2 linked regions of the Oryza sativa Japonica Group genome follow. The protein of the gene in region 2 binds, or shares a complex with, the protein of the main gene of each other region. Links are inferred from orthologs where the notes say so. Each region holds a gene or a part of one and is shown on either strand. Other genes may lie near its edges. The genes, in order: WD-40 repeat-containing protein MSI4 and PWWP domain-containing protein 1.

Evidence for each region.
Region 1: PWWP domain-containing protein 1 (region 2) and WD-40 repeat-containing protein MSI4 share a complex: the UniProt entries of both Arabidopsis thaliana proteins name them as parts of the PRC2 (polycomb repressive complex 2) complex. The link is inferred for Oryza sativa Japonica Group from reciprocal best matches to the Arabidopsis thaliana genes AT5G27650 and FVE.

The regions. Positions count from the first base shown.
Region 1 is NC_089035.1:30,090,929-30,098,110, reverse strand, and holds the end of WD-40 repeat-containing protein MSI4, read right to left. Parts: intron 6,992-7,182; coding exon 6,929-6,991; intron 6,683-6,928; coding exon 6,617-6,682; intron 6,514-6,616; coding exon 6,412-6,513; intron 6,218-6,411; coding exon 6,142-6,217; intron 5,597-6,141; coding exon 5,395-5,596; intron 5,133-5,394; coding exon 5,051-5,132; intron 4,948-5,050; coding exon 4,874-4,947; intron 4,726-4,873; coding exon 4,614-4,725; intron 4,509-4,613; coding exon 4,434-4,508; intron 4,282-4,433; coding exon 4,220-4,281; intron 3,542-4,219; coding exon 3,442-3,541; intron 3,305-3,441; coding exon 3,203-3,304; 3' UTR 2,890-3,202; downstream 1-2,889. Other genes in the region: pathogen-associated molecular patterns-induced protein A70, read right to left, coding at 697-1,500. UniProt on the Arabidopsis thaliana protein: Core histone-binding subunit that may target chromatin assembly factors, chromatin remodeling factors and histone deacetylases to their histone substrates in a manner that is regulated by nucleosomal DNA.
Region 2 is NC_089039.1:2,825,752-2,832,196, reverse strand, and holds part of PWWP domain-containing protein 1, read right to left. Parts: coding exon 6,327-6,445; intron 5,419-6,326; coding exon of another isoform or gene 5,279-5,418; exon of another isoform or gene 5,243-5,278; intron 5,161-5,242; exon of another isoform or gene 4,565-5,160; intron 4,289-4,564; exon of another isoform or gene 4,201-4,288; intron 4,066-4,200; exon of another isoform or gene 3,937-4,065; intron 2,678-3,936; coding exon 2,594-2,677; intron 2,127-2,593; coding exon 1-2,126. UniProt on the Arabidopsis thaliana protein: Together with PDP2, PDP3 and PDP6, interacts with MSI4/FVE and MSI5 to suppress FLC, MAF4 and MAF5 expression by regulating the function of the PRC2 complex and modulating H3K27me3 level, thereby promoting flowering.

The sequences.
Region 1 (7,182 bases), on a different chromosome or scaffold from region 2:
TTCGGTGACAAGCAATGCAGCCCGAAAGATGGGCTGCCGTTATTTGGACCATGAGAACGATTGGGCCGTTTGTTGAACTGGATAGGCTAGGGAACTGGGTGCAAGGGATTCGGAGTTTTCTACTCCGACCCCAACGAAAACCTTCCTCTTCAGTTTCCTCTCGAGTCTCGCCTGCTTTCCTGTCCTGCCTAACCAGCGATTGGCCGCAGCCACTAACTCACTACCAAAGTTTATGGAGGATGGTCCAGCCTTTTATTTTTGCTTTCGGTTTTAGTCATCCGAGTTCTGAACCCAGGTACATCAAGCGTACGTGAAAACGGTGAAAGGGCCCAAACAGATAGAAGACGACGTTCTGAAGCCTTAACCAAAAGAGGGGAACGGGCTGTTCTGCCAAACACATCCCATACTTGATTGTTTCAGTGAGACTTTAATCTAGACTTTCCGCTTTGAATTATACACGGAACAGATTCAGACGCTGGGCGCCTCGTTACCACGACTCTCGAGTCGGGCAAATTCGAGTACTACCTGAGTCGAACATACACGAGATAAATGAACTTCAAAAACACCCAAAATTGAAAACTAATTGCCGTTTACAAACAACGCGTACACAGTGACCACTCTAAACGCATGGGTCGCCGAGCCGCCTTTTGCATCTGCACCGGCGCCGCGGTTTGAGAGCGCGCGCGCGCGATCGAGCTACGTGCCGCGGTTGAGCATCTCGTTGTAGTTGAGCAGCGAGTTGAGCCGCTGCAGCTGCAGCTGCTCCCGGAACTTGTTGATGAAGTCGTCCGCCCTCGCGTCCACGCTGCTCGCGGTGGCGAGCCCAACCTGCGCGGTCTCCACCTCCTCCCTCGCCGCCGACTTCACGGCGCGTGCCGGTGCCGGGGCCGGCGCCCTCGGCGGCGGCGGCTGCGCGCGTTGCACTTGCAGTACCTGCCGCTGTGCCTGCGCCGGGGCGCGCTCCAGCTTCCTCACCTCCGAGCTCGACGACTTCTTGACCGCCACCTTCGCTCTGGCGGCGCCGGCGGCGGCAGCGTTCTCCGCCTTGCCTCTCTTCTCCACCGGCGGCGGCGCGGGCCGAGCAGCAGGCTCCGACCGGCTCCGGGTGTACTGCGCCTGCTGCTTCTCGCTCTCGTCGCAGATGGCGTTGGCGCCGGCGGCGGAGAGGTTGTACTCGGGAGGGAAGTCGCCGGAGCGGAAGCGGTAGAGGCCGAAGGAGCGCAGCCGCTCCATGACCGACGACGTGCGCTCGAGCGGCGCGGGTGGCGGTGGAGCGTACTGATCATGGCAGCGCTGCGGCTCATCATGGTGGTCATGGTGGTGCTGTGCCTTGTAGTGCTCGTCGTGGTGGTGTTGGCGGCGGCGGTGGGACGCGCGGGAGGTGAGCGCGATGGTGCCGATGACCACGTTGAGCAGGAGGAAGAGCGTCGCCGGGGAGAAGTAGCCGCGGACCAGCGACCACCCCGGCGGCCAAGCTGTCGCGTCTGCCGCGACGTCCATTTCGTCGAGATCGCCGCGCACGTTCTGCCTACCACACGTGCACGGGAAGAGCTTGGTGCGTTGAGGCGGATGTGACTGCGTGGTGTAGCTGGGCGTTGGCCTGCTCGGCGTGGTGCACTGGTGCGTGGTAAATATACAGGGAGGCTGAGGGCACGCGGCGCGCGGAGGCGGGTGGTGGATGGGAGGGAGGAATGCTTGCGGAGTTGCGGGGGATGGGAGAAACGGCGTGCGTATGAGAGGGCCTCCTCGTGCGCTCGCGACCGACCACCCCGTCACCCACCGTGACAGGTTGGAGATCCCCAAGCCCATGAGCCCTCAATTCATTGCGACGCAGGGAGGGGCGTCACCGTGCGTGCGTGCGTCGGTTGCACCGGCCACGGTGCTCCATCTCCAGGGAAATAATGCCGTGTACAGCGTACTAGTATTTTAGTAATACTCCGTTATCCAATACTTTACTGTTGTATTTTAGTGGTTGATCGTCTCAAGTCTGCCAAAACAGAAACTTCTCCTGTGGCAAACCCAAACCGTGTCAAGTTGTGTCATGAACAAATCACAAGATTACTACTCTAGACTATAGAACAAGCATTTCGGGGAGTTGGAGTACTGAGATTTCTCTTGCCGACTACTGCGATGAGCTGATGAACAATGCGTCAAGCACATTTCGCTTCATCATTTTGACGCAACCGCGGCAATGAGTTGGCGTTGAAACGTACGCTCGAGCAGGAGAAGCAGGTGAGCCACCACCAAGTCTGCACAGTCGGATGAACATCCGTTCCGAGGCAATGAACAAACCACGTGGATTGACCGTCCAGCTAGTGATATCAGCCCACCTGGTGCGAGACTCTGCGCGCCTTGCTTCACGTCACGTGCCGGTGTGCCGCGAGACCTGCTCTGATCCATCCAGTGGCCAGATCGGAACCTAAGCAGGTCAACCTGACTCAACCAACCGCGCACTTATTAACGTCAGTAGAGCTGCCGAGACGAAGTCCCGCAGCATATGAGCTCCCAGCATAATATTCATAGGCACATGTCGGGCACAGGACTCCCATCAATTTAAATGCATCCATCCGAGACATGAGGTGATGAGGCAATTATCGGCCGTGATTGACAATTGAGTAACCAGGATAATAGTCCAAATTAAAGCTCCCACGTGACGTTGTAACATGACTTTCAAGCACACTTATATTTTGGATTTGTGACCATACCAATGAACTCAGATGCACAACGCACGACCTCAAGAACAACGCGGCATTGGACCAAATGTTCAAATCCGACAAGATTTAGAGGCGGGAAAACTGCTTCCACTGGGGTATCCAGTGCAACGATATACCACAAGCAAGGAATAGCCCAAGCAGACGTATTCAAGGCTACATTACTATTGGACAGATCTATCTGAAGAACCATCTGATTAAGTCACCAAGTCAGGCTAACAATACAACTAGGTCCAATACGAGACTCCAGAACAATGTTTAGCATCCAAATAATCTGCCCACAGAGATTCTGCTCTGCTGTGTTTGCACTAGCTTACCGATTTGAGTCGATACAGTAAGGTAAAAGAGTCGCACAAGCACTTGAAGGGTACAAGCCTGGGTTCCGCACCAGAGGATATAACCAATATTTGAAAGGAACATTCTAAATGGACAAGAAATTAGAAACCTACTAGAGTTATTACAGGACTGGGTTACACAGATAGTCACACGATTCAGCTCCTTGGAGCACAGCTGGCCAAGTGAGTCTTGAAGTTCTCCAGCTCTGCAAGAACTTCATCTTCTGGACGGTATATCAGGTCACTCATGCGCCATATCTACACAAATAAAATATGCATAAGAACAACTGACGTATAATATCAGATAAAAGACAACATGGTAGCAGTCACTATTCCAATGAAATATGAGTACAGTCCCATTTTGTGTCTGGCACTATAAAAATAAAGAAACACACCTGCAATGTTCCACCTCCACCAGTACTCTCACCATCATCAGACACACTCACAATAGTCCAAGGATCCGAAGAATTCCAGTGGAAGTCTACAATCTTATCCCTGCCAATAAAAATATCACAAAATACGTTATTTATGGAATACATACAATGAAAATCAACAGCAATCACTTTGATAACAGTTGTATCATTCCTTAAGATCTAATACATCTTCCCCTCAATTTATTATAGTGCCCAGTTCATGTGGAAACTAAAAAGAGCTAACATTGTATGCATATGCTGTAGCATAAATCTATTGAAAAACTGAAATATGATCTACTTACAAATGTACTGATTATCCATTTGTTCTGAACCATAACAGTTATTCCAAAGGTGGAGAAAGCACAGGCTGACTTTATAATGGCCTTACCAACTAAGATACAGAGTACACCATAATCAAGATTTATCCCTCTAAGTCTTAGGCTTCTTAAGTTCAAATTTGCAATTGCACAAGTGTCTCTCAGCATAAGTCAAACACCAGTTCAAAGAGGATTCAAGTCCCATCTTCAATTTTGCAAAACTAATTAATGAAAATATCTTAGGAAAAATATCTCATTGCAGAAACAGAAAAGCAATGCACAGTGATGCAACCTAAAGTTGTCGTAAAAACGAATGTCTCGTAAATGTGACAGGAATAAAAAGCCAACTGATGTGGTATTAAGCATTTGAAGGAATATGGTATTGAGTTACGCATATTACAACACATAAGGAAAATTTTACATTTCATCATACGATAGCATACCTATGACCAGCATGTTGAAAGAAAAGCCCAGCAGGTGCGTTGGGATTTTTCTTATTTCCAACCTGCATCAAAAGAATTTTATGAATCTAAAGCTATTAAAAAGTACATGAAATGAAGGGGACAAATGGAGCATGAACTCCCATCCCAATTCCAAACTTTCTGCAGGGCCATGACAGAGATGACTGAAATGGTAACGAATTGTATAGAAAGATACCTTCTCATGATCCCACACATTTAAGAAGCCGTCTTCCGCAGAGCTTCCAAATACAGATGCCTTGTCAGGTGACCACTGAAACACACAAGGTTTGAATTATAGCATAAAGGCACAAAAAAAATAAACGACAGTAACCAAATGTGCATAAAAAATATAGTAACAATAAATATCTGTACATGCCTGAACACAAAGAACAGCAGCTTTATGACCCTCAAATTTGTGAACTGGAATGCCAGCTCCTCCAGAACCCAGATTTCTCCGGTCCCACATACGGACAGAATTATCCGCAGAACTGAATACGAAAAGAAACCATCTTACTCAAATGTGTAAATAGCTAAACCCACTATCAAGAAGTGTATCCACGGCTTCTTGTACCAAATGAACACTAAAGAACATGTTACATATTATTTAGAATTTAGAAACATTTCATGCCATCATACCCAGTTAAGATATAGTTAACATCATGGAGGTTCCAGTCAACACAATGAACATCACCACCATGAGCTTTCTCAACCTGGAAATGAAGAATAAACCAGTTTCAACATGGTGCATAGAATTGAGCTGCTCATTTTCACGTAAAGCATCATTAATCTGCTTAAAATGGAGAAGAGCACCACCTTAACAGCTGGGCCTGTACCACTCCGGGCATCCCAAAGAATAAGACAAGAATCATCGCCTACACTACAAAACTCCTGTGCACTTCAAAAAATAAAAAAAAATAAACTGTGAAGATAAATTGATAGAAGTATAGATCATACAATATCAAAATATAGCATGCATTCCAAGTTCCCAGCAGATGTTCACAATAATGATAGCTGCTATTGTTTTATCATCATAAAGAACGACTATTAGCCAAGACAAAAACTTTAGGCCATGCAAACCACTGAAGCTCATAGTCCAAACAACATATACACATGCTAGAGAGACAACATTTAATAACATGAAGGGGAAGGTGCAATACCTAGAAGGGCAGAACTGGACATCTTCAACAGTACTGTCGTGGCCAAGAAAGATACCACGAGGATCAACTTTAGGACTATCCTTATCATTTGCAGTTTTTCCCTTGCTTCCTGATGCCCCTGGAGAAGATTCAGTTTTCGAGGAATCTCCCAGTGCAGATATGTGGTCTTGGATGCTCCACCATACAACAGATTTGTCTTTTCCTATTACAATTCGTATTGAAGTCCAAGTTATCACAGCAGCACATTGAGTCGAGAGAAAAAACGTGTCCCCTGAACTTGGCAACAAAACTTCCAAGTCTATAAACTTTAGCAAGTGATTCAAGTTAGGCCCAAACCCAAGCTAGCTAGCAGCTGGTTTACATAGTAATCAATATGCCTAATTTAGTGATTGGCCTCTATTCTTTTTGTTATTCTGCACGTTAAAATGGTGCTGTCACCTCCATCTGCAAGCTAGTTTAGGCATGGACCTATCTTGACTCACATGTACAAGATCCAACAGAACAAAACAAAGCCAGTTCTCAACTTCAAGGACCCTTGCACACATCAAAATCGAACACTGAAGAGGTGAAGACCATGAAAAGTCAACAATATCAACCGGAAAATAATTTAGGGGTAATTGTTAAGGATAACACACATGCGCACACAAAAAAGTCTTGACACCAGAACAATATGTGAATAAATACAAAAGGTGTGAGGGGTATAAACTAGAAAGATTTAAACATACAAGAAGACAAAATATTGCTAACCTCCAGATAACACATATGGCTCAGCTGGGCACATAGCAAGCGCAAACTCAGCAATATCCTTATGTCCTCTTAATATCTGTCAAAACAGTTTAAGCTACTAAGCCACAAGTGTGAAAAGGGAACTCGAACTATGAAAGATGAAAACCTTTCAATATATTCTATGATTCCATAACACAGTTTCTTAGGACTTGTGTGCAGATACACCAGATGAAGCTGCAATTTCAGCTTCTCAAAATGATATAGGTTGAGAATGAAAATAAGAAAAGATACCAAATCAGGGCGAGAGTCAGGTGGTACCAAATCAGGACGAGACTCCATCTGTGCCAGTTGAGCTTGTCTATTTGGCTGGGCCTCGACATCCCAAATGAGAACCTGCAAATGAACAAAAAAGCCTTCAGTCTACAAATCCATCACAGAAATGCTTAGGGATTGATGATCACAAGAAACGGGCAGCACTACAAAGTTCTAGGCATACATCTGGGCTGTCGGTATGAGTGGCAATGATCTTACTGTTCTGCGGAAGCTCCCTAATCCTGTTCACCTGTGTCCATGGTAAAACAGAAACAATACATCAACGATTGGGTTAAATAAATGTTGACGGGGACACGGGGTTAAACAAATAAAAGACACATCTCAAGCACTATCTCCAAAAGAAAAGCAAGCCATCTAAACCACTAAAGTTTATAGCCAATATATGCACCACACAACATGGAAGATCTCATACAGAGGCAATGATCCTCAAGTTAAGGAAAGAGAAATCAACAATCACGATTGAATGAGCTTGTACCTCGCCTGGATGAATTATAGTCTTGTACTTCTTTACAAAAGGTGATCGTGCTTCCTCATTGAACTGCAACAAAAAATAAGAGACATCCGGTCAGTTTCATTGTAAACAGACTTCAAGTTAGTGCAAGGAATTCCTAATTCAGGTCTTTTTAAGGCCAATGTAAGGCAGTCTCATACACCGCTATCACAAGACTGAAGTCATGCAAATCTAGATGTTCGAGTTATGACATTTTTATTAATTTAATAAGACAGATT
Region 2 (6,445 bases):
GTCGTTGTTGGGGCGGTATGGCTGCTGCTGATGCTGTCCGGGGAAGACGACGCCGCCGGCGGCGCGATGCTGGTACGACGGCGGCAGCGGTGGTCCGGGGAGCTGGTGGTGCATTCCGTCGATGCTGTGGCGGAGGTGGTATGGTGGCGGTGGAGGGAGCTGCTGCTGCTGCACGGAGAATGGCGGCGGCGGTGGCGGCGGCAGCGGCAGCGGCAGCGGCAGCGCGTCGGTGTGGCGAGGTTGGTATGGCTGGTGCTGATGGAGAGGCGGCGGCGGAGGGAGTGGCTGGGTCACCGGCGGGCGAGGAGGCTGCTGCGCTGGACGCGCCGGCGGCTGCAGGTGGGGGTGCTGTGCCGGGCGCGCCGGCGGCTGGAGAGGCGGTGGCGCGAACCCGACCGACTTGGTGGCGCTCTTGGCGAGCGGCGCGGCGGCGTCTCCGCCGCCGCTCGCCGGCGCTGCAGGTGGCGGCGGCTCGAGCTTGCTGTCCCCGGCGTCGAGCATGAACTTCACCCGCGGGGCATCACGGAGCGCCGCCGCCGACGGCGCGCCGTCGTCGGTGACCGTCTTCTTGAGGATCGACTTGGGCTGCTGCCCAACCACCGCGCGCGCCGGCACGGCCCTGGACAGCGGCAGCGGCGCGCAGTTGCCGCCGGAGGTCCCGGGCCTGAACGGGGCCGTCTCCATGAGGCGAAGCTCGGAGCGCTGCTGCGGAGGCGGAGGTGCAGCGTCGGCGGCGAGGTCGCCGTCCGACTCGACGCCGCGGAGGTAGTAGTTGGGCGCGACCTGGCCGAACATGGTGGTGTTGGCGCGCGCGTACTTGAGCGCGACGTCGGCGTCGGACTTGAACCTGTAGATGACGCGGCACATGTGGGACTTCCAGTAGACGCGGATGCCGTCGACGTCGAGCGGCCCGAACCGCGCGAACCTCGCCTTGAGGGAGGCCACCGATGGCAGCGTGGTCTTCGGCGGGAACTTCATCATCAGCGCCGTCGGCGATGGCGTCTTGATCGCCGGAGCCAGAGCCGGCTCCTTCTCCTTCTTCCTGGCAGCGATCGCATCATTCTTCCTCGCCGCCGCAGGCGCCGCGGCGGCGAGCTCCAGACCGGCGGCCTTCTTGTCAGTGGCGAGCGTCTTGATCTTGTTGAGCTTGGCTTTCTTCTTGGTGGCAAGCTCCTCCTGGCGATCAGACGGGGCGCGCTTGACGCCGGCAACCTTGGCGGAGGCGGCGGTGGTGTCGCCGGGCCTCGCGGCCGGCTTCTTCTTCGCCGGCGGCTTCTGGCCGTCGGCGGCGGTGGCGGCATTGGGCTTAGAGGCCTTGTTGTCCTCGGGTGGATCGTTCTCATGGCTCTTCTTGAAAGACTTGGAGCGGAAGGCGAGGAGGAAGGAGCGAGCTTCGTCAGAGATGCTGCGGCGGCCGGCGACATAGGAGGCAACGAGAGGAAGGCTTTGAAGCTCGGATATTACCTGCTTCAGATCATGGTCTACCTTAGCAGGCAATAACCCCGGCTTGCCGGCGGCGGCGACCGCCACGCCGTTGAGCTCGGCGAGCTTCTTCTTTTTCTTCTTCTTAGGCTCGCCGGCAACGCCGCCTGCGGCGGCAGCGGCGGCGGCGTCAGCGGGTTCCTCGCGCTCGCGCTTGCGGGCGGCTGCCTTCTTCGGCTTGGTCGCCTTCTTCGGCGCCGCGGCGGCGGTGGCGGCGTCCGTGGGCGCGCCGCCGTCGCCGACCTGCCCGGCGGCGGCGGGAGGAAGCGCGAGCGGGGTGGGTGGCGCGGACAGCAGCGGCGGTGGAGTGCGCCTCTGCAGCAAGAACTCCTCGTCGGCGGCGAGGGTGCTGCTGGGGAGCGGCGGCGTCGGGGGATCGGAAGGGAACCCCGGCGGGACGTCGTCGAGAGCGGGGGCCATGGGCGCCGCCGGGAAGGCGTCCGGCATGGACGGCGGCGGCGGGGCGCGCGCGTCGTCGCGGCGCTTGAGCAGGTACTGGTCCTTCTTCTTGGCCCTGGGCTTCATCGCCGCCGCGCTGGGCATGATCTTCTCCATGAGCCTCGCCGCCGTGCTGGCCGCGCTGCCCTTCCGGCGGCGGCCGCCGGGATTCTCCGCCGCCTTCTTGCGGCCCTTCGCCGGACGACCTGCAAACGCATCGTAGCCACACATCAAGACCAAGTCAACGCAAATGGTTTTCCATTTTTATATATATGAAATATAAAACAACAATAAACTAATTTAAATATTGTGATTGAGCTAGTGGAAATTATATCAACATTAAAATAGACGAGTGTTTTTGGATTTGAAAGAAATAGGATTTTTGGAAGAAAATGCAAAGTACTATACTAGTATAATAAAAATGAAAAGAATATATGTACTCGTATATACTGTACATTACAATCCTGCAGAAGTTGTATTTGAAATATATAAAACAACAATAAACTAATTTAACTAATGATATTGTGATTGAGTTAAAATAGTCGGGGTTTTTTTTTGTTTTGAAAGAAATTGGATTTTTGGAAGGAAGAAAAATGTAAAATACAAAATAATACAAGTATAATAAAAATGAGAAGAATATGTACAGTCGTATATATACTGTACAGTACAATACCTGCAGGAGTTGTATTTGAAGACTCGCCCTGATCATCCTGGGGTTCCTCCTGTGTTTTCCGGTCCCACCAAACACGTCTCTTGCCTAGAGAGATTTAAAAAAACATCATGACATTTCGTTCGTTTATGAAGGCTTTGACTGCCACATGTCTCAACAAAAAGAAAAAAAAATTAAGCCTTTCACTGATACTGTGTAACAGAACACGTGCAAGTGCAATTCACTCTTGGGGGAAAAAAGAAGAATGATGAGAAAGCACGAGCTGGAGAGTAGTAAAGGGAAATGCATCCTGATTTTTTTTCTTTTTATTTATATTTATTTGTTACTCATCTCCTTGACAAATCAATGTGTATGACACACAAAAAAGACCTTGCAAAAAGAAAGAAAGAAAGAAAGAAAGTGTAGCAATGCCAAAAATTAAAAAAAGAATCAGCGACTGGCGAGGATAGATGGGTGACTCTTCCAGCGCGCAATCCAGACCGTCGGTAGATCCATCCTAGCCGTCCATCCGTGTCGGTGGATGCAAAAGGTGAGTGCTGGCGACTCTGCTTCTCCTGGGATTCTCTCTTTGGGCCAGGTTAATATCCAACCAAAGAAACAGTGATTTTTTTTCTATGGCGAAAAGAAAAATATTATACTCCCTCTATCCCAAAACAATAATACAGAATGTGACATATCCTAATACTATAAATTTAAATAGAATATGTCACATACTGTATTAGGTTAATTTATTTTAAAATTTAAATAGGATAGTCACATAATGTGCTAGGTTAACTTATTTTGAAACGAATTGAGTATGTAGTGGCTTCTCTTTCTCTCTCGAGCGAACACAATGTATCAGAATTTTTTTTTTAAAAAAAAGAAAATGTGCCTACATACGTGGACGCACATGCAAATTGCAAGTAATGACGTACGACCACTACCAATGCTGCTACTACTACGTGACCGTCACCTATATTCTTGGTCTTGGGATTTGTTTGTGGCAGGAAGAGATTCGCCTTTGGTCTCATTTGCCATGCAAAGTGAGATCTTCTTCTTGAAGGGAAATCCCTTCATTCCCTTCCATGAATTATTATGTCTAGTTGAAAAATAGCTCCAGAGAGAGCCAATGAGCTCCTTTAACTTTCTTCTTTGTCAATTGATCATTATCTAACGCAGAAAATTGGAAAGGCTAAAGAGTAGAGAGGCAAGGATTGGTTGATCCATTTTGGGGGTTTAATGCTTCAAGAGCTTTTTTATTTAAGCCAAGACAGGGTGACAGTCCGACTGACACGGCAGGACAAAATTCACCAGTGCTTTGCTCCTGGACGGCACAAATGCTGGCGTCTGTCTCGCTCATCGGCCACCAAATATCTAACGGAGGAGGAGCATATTCTGTGATGCCTCTCCAACCCCCATTGGCTCTCCACGTCTTTCCAAGCTTCCATGTGACTCGGTATCACCATCTCGCCAAAAGAGAGTGATGGAGAATTCAGGTGGAATTTGTAATTTAATGTTATTCATGTCCATTTACTGAAATAATCTTATGTGGATTCGTTTCGAATTTCGGATGAATTTCAACCTAAGGGGTGTCTATATATTCAATTCATGGAATCTTTGCTTTTTCCTAGGAAAGAGGAGAATTTGTCCGGGCAGGAAGAAGCATCGCCTAGAACAAGCAAAACCGCGGGGAGCTATTTCTTGGTGGCAACCGGAGAGGTTCAGTTTTTTTGTGCACTGTGATTAGCTTTTCAAAAATAAACTAAACTAAAAGGCTCTAGTGTAGTACTCCCCCGTCCCAAAATATAAGGTACTAGGATCAGATGGAGCACATCATAGCACTGTGAATCTAAACATCATGTTCAAATTCATAGTAATAGGATGTCTCCCATCCAGTCCTAACATCTTATATTTTCGGATGGAAAGAGTAATAAACTAAACTAAACTGAACTGAAGGCTCTAGTGTTTCCCTAATCATTCTGTTCTGTGCAAAAGGAACCTATGATAACCGCTACGAACTCTGAAGGCAAAGCAAAGTTGCTGGAGGCATCATTTTCAGAAAGGAACTAGCATTGATTCTAGGAACAAGTTTTGTTAACAAAAGAACGAGAAGAGAAGTTAATTCCAGGAATTGGACAGCAGCAGCAGCAGCAGCAGCAGCAGCAATAGCTGAAGGCATCATCTTAAGAAAGGAACTAGTCGAGTTAAGAAAAGGACGAGAAGGGAAGTAAATCACTGGAACAGGACAGCAGCAGCAGAAGGTAATATGAAGAGACAATTCCAATATGAAGGATTTGTGATCACGGGAAGAATGGAGGGGGGCTTCTAACCGAAGGAGCAACTTAAACACACTAGTGGTGGTCAAGAACATGGACAGGAGAGGCAAAAGATTGATCCCCCTTTCAGTACCCTCACTATTTGATGGTGTTGGAACCTCTGATCCTAGTGCAAGCTAGATGCACCTTGCTTTACTCCAGGCATGGATCTCTCAGACTTATAAACTTGGAGTCTGCAAAGAATGCTTCGTTTATATATTTTTTAGGTTGACGATACATAATTATATGATTTCCTTTCTTGTGATTGTTATGTTATGCGCAAATCTTGAGAATTACCCTTTTTCATAAAGAACAGAAATCCTAATCATATTTACCGCTTCCGAATGGTTCAGCTAGATGCATCTAAAATAACAGCAAAGAAACTTATACGTAGTTAATGTTCATACATTTTATACATGTTTAATAAATATAATAACCAACAAGCACGGCTAACAAATGTTGTAGTCATACGTATCTTAACTTGGTGCCTTCCTTCACAATGTAAAGGTGAACTCAACCACCTTACCTCAGAGCCTGCTTCATCAATGAACAAGGAATAGTGCATCCAGAACAAAACATGTTATGCAGATGAGAAACCCAATCACATTCACTTCTCATAACTCTGTTTTATCAGGTACATTAACCAATATTTATAGTAGTCCTTTATGATGCATGACTTTAGTTACGCTTAACCAACAAATGTTGTGTTGTGCACTGCTTGCACATGTCTAAATGCCAAACTATAGGGATGAAAAAAAAAACAAACAGCAAGCATACAATCTGAAGTGCATGGGCAATGAACAGAAAAATGATGCATAAATGTTAGGAAAAGAGAGGACCTCACGATTTCCAAACATATAGCAAGTTAGGAACTGAGGCCTGGCCTATAAACTGCAGCAAGTACTAAGTAGCACGTAAATCTCTAATTGAGATATATGAATAAAAGCATGACAAAACAAAATCACAATCGAATAATAACAGGCCCTAATCTTTTTTATAAAAAAATATTCCTACAAGGTAGTGGGGAAATAAGTTCTCATTGTACCCTTAGTAATTGTTTGGAAAAAATAAGATATCAAATTGGAGATCATGGCAATACCCATGAATCTACGACAACTCAAGATTGGTTGCTGCAATGCATCTGTCAAATTTTACTTCATTTTGAATCAATTCTATAATAATCGTGTGACAAACCACATCAACCCCAATGAAACAACAATCATGCAACAGACAGATCAACAAAAATATGAAACAGAAAACTAATTGAACCAGATCTACACTTCTATTCAGAACAAAGGAATCAAACTTCAATCTATATCTCAGCAATGGTATTACGGTTAGCTTAACGAGCATGTTTGAGTACATAGCAGCAGAAACAATAGCATAGTAGCATACAGCGCAGCTAAAAGGATTAATAGGATTGGGCATGCGAGTGAGTATACCTTCTCGAGCTTTCTTCTCCAACGCTGTTTTCGCCGCTTGCGCCTCGTCGTAGTCCATCCCGAAAGCTTGGGCGTAGGTGGGATCCTTCAGCGCGTATCTGGATAGGCGGTAGGCCTCA